Linked DNA regions of Daphnia pulex. The protein of the gene in region 2 interacts with the protein of the main gene of each other region in a pairwise test. Links are inferred from orthologs where the notes say so. Each region holds a gene or a part of one and is shown on either strand. Other genes may lie near its edges. The genes, in order: glycogen synthase kinase-3 beta-like and axin-like.

Region 1 (4,569 bases), on a different chromosome or scaffold from region 2:
GATGGAACATGGTACACACGTATGGTGAACACGCTAGTCTTCATGCACCAGGCATTCGCTCATTTGACTGTGTGTGTGTGTCGGCAGAGAGGGAGGGCTAGCAGCCAACGCACACAACACAAGCGATCGATAGTTATTTTTTTGTGTGTGTTTCCTATCCTACTCGTGTCAGCAGGGGAGGCTCGGAGGGGGGTTTAACAGGAGGGGCGTTAAGGCGAAAGAGACAGGATTCTACTTACGCGAAACTTAACCACAGGTTTAGCTTCAGCCCGACTCACAGTAATTTTCTCGAGCATCGACTGTCGATATAAAAGGGGAGAAAAAATATAAAAACAAAAAAAAACAAAAACAAAAAGAAAAAAAAAAGATTGTCGTCAGCAACATTTTGATTTAACGTCGAATTTAAAGGTCAGACCCCATACAGAAAAAGAGGGTCTTCATTGCCACGTGCAAGGAAAAATGAAATCGTACAAAAAAAAGGAGGAAGCTCCGTGAACAGGTGAACACAGGGAATTACCATCAGTATTGAGTAACAAAAAAAAAATCCACATCGTGGAAACCTGTCAAATCCCCCTGGAAGAGAATAAAAAAACACAACACAAAAACTCCGAAAGTATAGAAAAGAAGAAAAGGATGAAGAAAATGGCCGATAATTGCTCGATGTCAATATGAACAAAATCAATGGTGTGTGGTATGTGCAAAGTTTCACTAGCCTGCGCATAAGCCAAACAACAAACCCTTTAATGTAATGTTGCGACTATCATTGCAAAGAAAACGCTGCCCTACTACTTGCTTGTACGTACATAAAACCGAGGGATCGATGCCATCATCATCGATCTGTCAAAACAAAAGAAAAAAATTGTTGGCTAGATTCTTTTTGCCCCTCCAGTTTCTACTGGCAAACTGGCAGAGACTCATTAGGAAGGAAACAAATACGAGGCAAAATATTCGAGGAGGACAAGGACCTTTCCTAACTTCCACCAACTTCCTCAAAAGCAACACGATATGTAAGTATAGCATAACTGGAAGAGAGCTTTTCTTCAAAGGTATTTCAACGTAACCCATTCCAGTTAAGATTGCGAAATGTGAACAACTTTCGAGAAACGGTGCGAAAGGAGAAACACACTTAAAGAAAATCGCAAGCAAAAGACATAGAGAAAAAGAAATGCCAAGATATGTAGATTAATTAAGGTAGTTAAAAATAAATTTACCTTCTGCCATGGGTGTGCTTTGATCTGAGGAAACTTGAACTCGGTGTAGTTTGGATTCATTTCACGGATCTGTTCTCGGGTGGGTGTGCCCAAGACTTTGATAATCTCCACCAACTGGTCGACCCCAGAGTCGCCCGGGAAGATTGGCTGGCCCAAAAGCAACTCAGCCAAAACGCACCCAGCGCTCCAAACATCTGATCAACACAACAATGCCGACATGTTAAAAGCAGTTCATTGAGTGAAGATCGAAAGTTATTTTTATTTTATTTGTTACCTATATTCGTGGTGTAGTCGGTGGCTCCGAAAATGAGTTCGGGTGCCCGATAATAACGTGAGCAAATGTAAGAGACATTGGGCTCACCCTGGACCAAATGCTTAGCACTTCCGAAATCGCAGAGCTTCAGTACACCAGACTCGGGATCGAGCAACAGATTCTGTGGCTTGATGTCCCGGTGACAGATTCCCAACGAATGAATGTAAGCCAGACTCCGAAAGAGTTGATACATGTATAGTTTGATAAAACTTATAGGAATAGTCTGTTTGGATTTGCTATAGTGACGTGCTACTTTGTAAACGGTCTCGGGTATAAACTCCAAAACCAAATTGAGAAACACCTCATCTTTCTGAAGTATCAAAACAAGAGAGAGTAGATCATATTGTTAGACACTGGTAAAAAGAACAATAGCTTTAATCATCACAAAAACTTGCCTTTTCTCCGCTGGAATAGAAAAAGTATTTCAACTTGACGATGTTGCAGTGTTCCAGGCGCCGCATAATCTGCAGCTCGCGATTCTTGAAAGAACAAAGAAGACAAAGTCATCAGTTATGAACACAGGTACAAGTCATAGTCATAATCTGTAATTTACTTTGAACCGCTTATCTTGAAGAACTTTTTTGATGGCCACAAGTTCACCGGTCTCACATAGTTTGGCTTGGTAGACAACACCAAAACTGCCATTTCCTATTACTTTAGCATCTGTGTAAGCCACTTCTTGAGCTCTATCAGGTCCCTGTCCAGGGGTTGCCACCACTGTGGTGACCTTGCTCCCATCTTTACCTAAAAGATTGCATTGGAGAAGAAAGTGAAAATGATGACAGGTGAGTACAAATTATGGAAGACAATGGACGAGTGAAACTGCTCATACCAAATGAAGGATTTAAAGATGTCTTGTCAGCAAATGAGGTGGTGCGCGGCCGTCCGCTCATTTTTAAAATTGTAATGATAATTTGACTCACGCCAAGAACATAGCTGTAAACTACAGTCTGCACACAGTGCACACAGAAGACACACCTGACACAGTCGAAGACACTTGACACTCGACACAACCTCAAGATTCAGAAATCTCTTTTAAGAATTTTGTATATTGTTTCAATATATAAGAGATGAGTGTAGACTCTTGTTGATGGGAGGGTAGAAAAAGGACGGGTGTAAGTGGAAAAACGTTCTTGTGACTAGTTTTTCACACTGTAATCCCGTCAGTGATTCTGATGGCTAACGCCATTTGGGCCTGTACGTTCTTTCGATAGGGAGGTGAGCGAGAAAAAAGAATCAAAATTTTCAACAACTGCCTAACCAATAGAAGGAGATTAGAAGTCACTCTACGCAGTCCGCTGTATGAAGTTCACAACAGTTTTTTTGCGGGCAGCGGGAAAAAATGGTTGGCAATGGCTAGTAAAACTAGCTCGGGCTGAGGACATCGGAGAACGACGCCATTTAAGATTTTCCAACTTTTGCAATATGGCGGAACTTACGACTTTTGCTACCAGGTGGCGGGCCGTTCGACTTAAATGGCAACGTTGCCTCTCTGTTGTTGTTTCTCACGTAATCCATGTTGTATCTAACATCCGATAGATGTGGTTGCAAGCACGCGCCCTTTTTAAATCTTTCAACAATTAAATTCTGATTAACTTGTATTGTAAAATTGATGTGCTTGTAAAATCTAAAAATTTCATTATTACTTATTAAACTTATTTATAAAGATAACCCATGGAGTTTATACGTGAATCGTTTGCCAATTCATTTTCGTAAAAACTGAAAACAAGTATGAATCATGAATTTCAAGATGCTTATCACGAATTCTTCGTGCAAATGCGCAGTATATTGTACTTTCTTAACTGAGTGTGGGAATCCATTTGGCATTGAGAAGGAAAACGTAACGAAAAAAAAAAACGAGGATTGTTACTAACAGGATCAGGATATACCATGCACTACAGAAAATTGGTAACTTTTTCATTTTTCTGTGACTCCGAGGTTCTTGTACCTGAAAGAACCGGAAATAATTAGATGAAATGTTAGATTTCACATTTGTTGTCCACCGTGACCTTTGGGCTTTGGAGTTTGGACCACCGTTTGGATTTTACGTATATTTAGTCACGTAATGGAAATTACTACAACCAATATTATGACTAATATTAATCCGTTTTGATAAATCATGAATATTACTTATTGATTGATTCCTTTATGGCATAATGCAACGTTTAAACACTTTTTGGACCAATCGGCATCGATTTTGTTACACAGGTTACACCCAATTTCGGGGGCATTTTTTTAAAAAGGTCTTTTTTGTCTGCTAAGCAGTTGTCAAATTCGCCTGTTGTCTTTCAGAAGACGAGGCGATTTTTTAAGAGCTTTAAAAAAGGAAATGAATTTACTAGACATAATGAGTGTGGAGTGAGAAAGCATCAATAAACATCAATGAATCTTAAAATATGTCGAATGTAAGAGATCTATTTTAGAAATAAAGTCTTACTTCCTAGTGGCTACAAACCTACATAATTGTTTTGCTTTCTAGAATCTATTTAACACTGTGAGCCAAAAAAGGATAGCTTTATTTGCAACTTTGTTGTGTATATTGATCTTGACATTTTTCGTTTTTAACACACCCATATTCCATTCCCATGATTTAAGCGAATATGAAACAATTAAGGTAAGCCATTAGATTACGAACATGGTTCTCCTACATTTAAAAAAAACTGACTAACAAATTTTACCAGAAAAATTGTTCAGGAAAACAACTTGTGCTTTTCTGGACTAAGTTTTTTGAAACAGATGATTTCTATGTTGGATTAGGAATTAAGCCCTTTAAACAGTGCACAGTGTTTGCCTGTTGTTCAACAAATAACCGAAATTTCCTTGATGTAAGTGATGCCATAATTTTCCATATACGGTAAGGAATAATGAATTAGTTTTATTCCAAATCATTCAACTATTAAATATCAAACAAACATAAATCAAAATTAAGAGACTTGGACTTGAATGATATGCCCCCTCGTCGTTCCGTTCGCCAACGATGGATTTTTTATCTTCAGGAATCTCCCTTACACACTCCAAATATTTTGTATGATCTCAGTAATGTTT
Region 2 (4,561 bases):
ATGAACCTTTGGAGGGCGACAGCGTCGAAGGATGCGACGGGCCCCGCCTTCCGAACCGTGAAGCCCATGGATCCATCTTCACCTGACTTGACGGCACATTTTCTTCACCTGAATTAAAAACGCAACAACATTAGAATGAATGTAATAAGCACACACAAAGGCGACCAGTTGGATCATACCTGGGAAGACAGGGGGTCGAGGAGCAGATTCCGAAAAACGAATCACAGATCCACCTCCATTCATCACTTAACACTGTACAAGTTCGTTGTAGTCAACGGACGATAAATAAAACAGGAGCAGCATCACCTGGACACGAAAGAGATGCAACGAAATGGTTAGCACACATTTTAACATGGCCAGAAACTCGAATCACAACTTGATGTCACTGGTTAGAGCAAAAACATCAACATTGGACTCTTCTACTGAACCGAAGTTGGCAATTTCACAAAATAAACTAAACTCTGCTGCCACAGCAACTGTGTGTAGAGAATCCATCCAGAGAAATTCGTTCCCAGATCCCATATCCGGCTTTGGAAGACCCACTCTTCCGCCCACCAGCCCCCCCCTCCTCTTCTAGCCCCCCTCCTCACCATCAGAAAGCAAAAAAAGAAATAACTGCAAGTTTTTGGTGGGTAAGCATTGATTGGAATCGTTGGAGCGCGAAATATAATCTGACAACGTAACAATGAGTAGGGAGATTTTTCATTTTTTGGTGAGTGCAAGATAACAATAGGAAAAAATGGACTACAATAGAGATGGAAAAAACGGAGGTTGCTTACCAGGCAGCATCTAGTTCCAGACTGGTGAAATAAGAGGGGTGAAGCGAAGGAGGAGTTGGTTTCTTCTATGAGGCACGCTATGAATAAGGCACACTGCGACGAATCACTACTGCATCAACATAATTGGACGGTCTGTGGGGGTTGCAACTATTGGGTCGATCTCTTCAGTCCTTAATGAGGCCCGATATCTTCACATGAGTGGTCCAATTGTTGTCACGGGTTCTGGATGAAATCCTGTAATACAAGAGTACAAGAGTTATCGACCAGTTTGTTAACCATAAGCAGAAGCTATTGTGTTTTCCACTACTCAAATGTTCACAATATTTGACAGCTGGAAAAAACTGGATGAGAGCCCCTGGATTACAAATGAGAAGGGAGAGAAGAGTGAAATTGCTCTCCGAGTTCTCCCCACTCACTACAAAAGCTCTCACCAGGTCGATCAATACAGACTCTGCTCACAATCCTGACAAAAGAGTGATGCCTCCCCGTAGTCAAGACTTGCATTTCATTTTCCATCACATTCAATAAGTCTGAGTGGTAAATGGAGTTGCCTAGATTGCAAATAATCACTGGGCACGCGAGTCTAGGTAAACCCATCGCTTGCCCATTGTCACTTTTTCAGATGTGTATGCAGTAGGGGCATAACCTAGGGGCATCACTCTGTCAGATTTCTGTTTCTCCTCTTAATTTACCTTTTCCATCGAATTTTCACTCGAATTTTTTCAGATTAATTTCGGCCGTCGTGTCAACAACGGGCCACAACTCAGGGAAAGAAACAGAAAACACAAAAAAATGAAATAAATGAAACTCGAAAAAAAGACGGACGGCTTCTGCTCAACTCCAAACAACTCAGTTCCCATTCCCCCTATATCGTATCGAGAAACGTACACCCGATGTCTATATATCGATAGTTGGCTAGAAATCGATTCGCCAAGACATTCTTCTTCCTCACAAGTTCCTTTATTCTTTCTTTCTTTTTCTTCAGCTTTTCGCCATGACTTTGCAGGTGCCGACATTCTTTCACAAAAATCGCCTAATGATCTTTACTTTTTTTTACATTGGCAATAATCTTATGCATACATCTCGAGTGTTGCCTGCATAATGCTTCCATGAAAGGGCATCAAAGTGTACCGAACAAATAACACCCAAAAAAGAAGAAAAGGGGGGAAGCCTTGGAGCGGGTTCATGTAACTCAAATTCCTTCCTTCTGTGGAAATGTCGCCTCTGCTGTATTTATATATATATTTTCTAAAAAGCGATTGAGTTGTATATATAATATCACGTCAAAGTTAAAAGCTAGATCAATCCAGCCAGGTCGATCTACGCCTCCTGGCGTTTTGCCCTCACCTGGATTCGTTGTGTGCCATCAAGACATCATGTCGGTCTTGTACCTACTCTGATGATTGCCCTTAATGGTGGTTACATACATTTTCATAGGACTAGAGAGGGTATTCTTCTTCGGCGGTAGCCACCACACACTCAAGGTCTTCACGTCGGGCCAAGAAGAAAAAACAAGCCGCGCGATAATCAAGACTATGTGTTAAAAAAAGGAAGGCGGCGGTGGCGGCGGCGGCGGCCTTTCTTCTATTGACCCGCGGCTCTTTTTTGAGTATATTTCAAGTTAAAAAATAGAAAAATAAAAAAAAAGGCTTTTAACCAGCAGCATGCTGGCTTGCGGGGTTCGAGATGTTGATGTCATCTATCTCTTTCTTCAAAATGCTGGAGAGAATGTGTTGTCCGGGGAAAAAAAAACGAAATTCCATTGCCGACGACGTGTCAAGGTAAAGTGACTCTTGGTCGATTACGCGACCAGCAGCAGATGGATTCAAGCCAACAAAATGCCGCAGCATCGTAAATATAGATCAGCTCTTTTTCTTATTATTATTAGGATAGGATGGTGGGAATTGTTGTCTGCTGCCGCGCGGCGAAATTATCAAACGGCGGCGGCCGCCCAAAAGGAGGAGGAGGAGGCCACTTCCGCCGACAGCCAAGTTGATGGATGTCCCGGATCAATTTGCATCCGACTCAATTGCATCTTATATAGTATATTATAATAAAAGATGGATGTTCTCAAAATATATCTACCTACCTGGAATCAAATCGAAGCTGCTGCTGCTGAAGTCGGCAAATTAGTTCCACCGTTGGACCAAAAGATGATGGATGAACAACAACAACAACAATTGCACTTCACCGCGGACACGTCTAAACACCTCGCCGACCAACTCCTTTCTTATACCCCCACCAGATATCTGTGTCATTCGGGTAGGAAAAAAAATAAAGATGGATCTGATATTTATACCGCGAGTTAAAGGTCTTGCCACATTTTGAGGCTTTTATCTGCGCTCAAAATTTTAAAAAGTGGCGGCGGCGGCGGTTTGGTCTATTGGTCGCACTCATTTGTCTCGCACGATGATGATGATCACTCAGCGGACCCTGGGCAGTCTAACTGTGCAGCAGCAGCTTCATTGGGAATTATCTCTCCTACACACATACACACACACACATACAGACACGGGGAAATCAGATTACACACTGGCGCGCGAGCGCGGCGGTTTCTTTTTTAACTTTTGGGGTAAAGAGGAAAGAGAAAAAGAGCCGCGCTACTCCAAGATAAGAAAATCTTAAATGAAAGAAAAGAACGCGACATCTTGGCGGCGCTAGTCATTAATACTGATGCGCCATGGATATATAGTGCATCCGTTGTATACAAACAACGAGTATTATTATTATTATTATTATTATTATTTGGAATTTATTATTTTATAAGAAAAAGAGGGGGTCTTTTATGTTCATTAATGCGCTAGCAACGCCAGATTTTATCATCGACTTTCATTAGGGAAAAAATAAAGAATTTGAGTCATCGAGATTACTGGCGATAAAAGATGGATTGATTCGCGTTTAATTCCGGCCTATAAATGTCGTCCATGTCTTGATATATGAGTCACACACAAGAATAAATCTACGCAATCTTAAGAGCTCAAGAGAGAATTGATTTCATTTTGATTGACACTCTCTCCAGATTAAGTTTCGAATGGTTTAAATGACGAGAGAGGATATAGTATTATTTACTTCTTCTTCAAACACCGTAATATAACGGTAGATGTGTACATCAAGTCATCAAATCCTGCCCCGTAAAACTGCCAAGTCACATTGAAATGAAGATTTTTCCCTTTTGAAAAACAATTTTTTTGTTTATCCCTTTCTTTTTTCAAACAGATTCCAAATCTTTTAATCGCCTGTAGCTTCGTGTGGGTTCAAGAGTGAAACACTTTTACGATATCTGCCGCCTTTTATAATAAATCATCGACACTTTGAAATCTTCACTAAAGCCTTTGGCCATGAAGTACGTACACAAGGATAACTAGGAGGACGTCTAGCGGTCCAACTTTGGACTCGGTTTTGAAAACCTTTGCTTACGTCACACGATATGGAAAAATTATAATAAATAAAAAAAAAACGCTTAGATCGGCTGAATCGACACACATTGATCGGAAAACATATGTTGCGAAATAATACGGACTTTGCTATTTGTCCCCCGCGCAAGACCTTTGAATTATTGACCAGTTCCGGATCAATAACTATTGCGGATGAGTAGTATATTATGAATGAATTTTGAGCAATGAGTTTTCGGGCTTTCTCCTGATGGGTGCACGCAGGTGCAGCCAAATCTCATTATCAGTTTGAATAGATTATATGATTTTCTTTGCGGGAAATCGTATTACACACAAAGGGGGTGGAATCACGCAAAGTGTTTCAAGGCGATAATTATGAGCTTGCTCAAT

Evidence for each region.
Region 1: the proteins of axin-like (region 2) and glycogen synthase kinase-3 beta-like interact in a two-hybrid assay, tested with the Drosophila melanogaster proteins (2 studies listed by BioGRID, with this or other methods). The link is inferred for Daphnia pulex from reciprocal best matches to the Drosophila melanogaster genes Axn and sgg.

What each region holds. Positions count from the first base shown.
Region 1 is NC_060024.1:9,782,239-9,786,807, reverse strand, and holds the start of glycogen synthase kinase-3 beta-like, read right to left. Parts: upstream 3,000-4,569; 5' UTR 2,418-2,999; coding exon 2,357-2,417; intron 2,269-2,356; coding exon 2,078-2,268; intron 2,004-2,077; coding exon 1,920-2,003; intron 1,835-1,919; coding exon 1,486-1,834; intron 1,406-1,485; coding exon 1,212-1,405; intron 1-1,211. Other genes in the region: alpha-(1,3)-fucosyltransferase C-like, read left to right, coding at 3,921-3,929, 4,004-4,138, 4,206-4,378, 4,454-4,569.
Region 2 is NC_060025.1:2,838,722-2,843,282, reverse strand, and holds the start of axin-like, read right to left. Parts: upstream 3,020-4,561; 5' UTR 2,869-3,019; intron 1,694-2,868; exon of another isoform or gene 1,472-1,693; intron 1,434-1,471; exon of another isoform or gene 1,211-1,433; intron 1,014-1,210; 5' UTR 780-1,013; intron 307-779; 5' UTR 244-306; coding exon 180-243; intron 109-179; coding exon 1-108.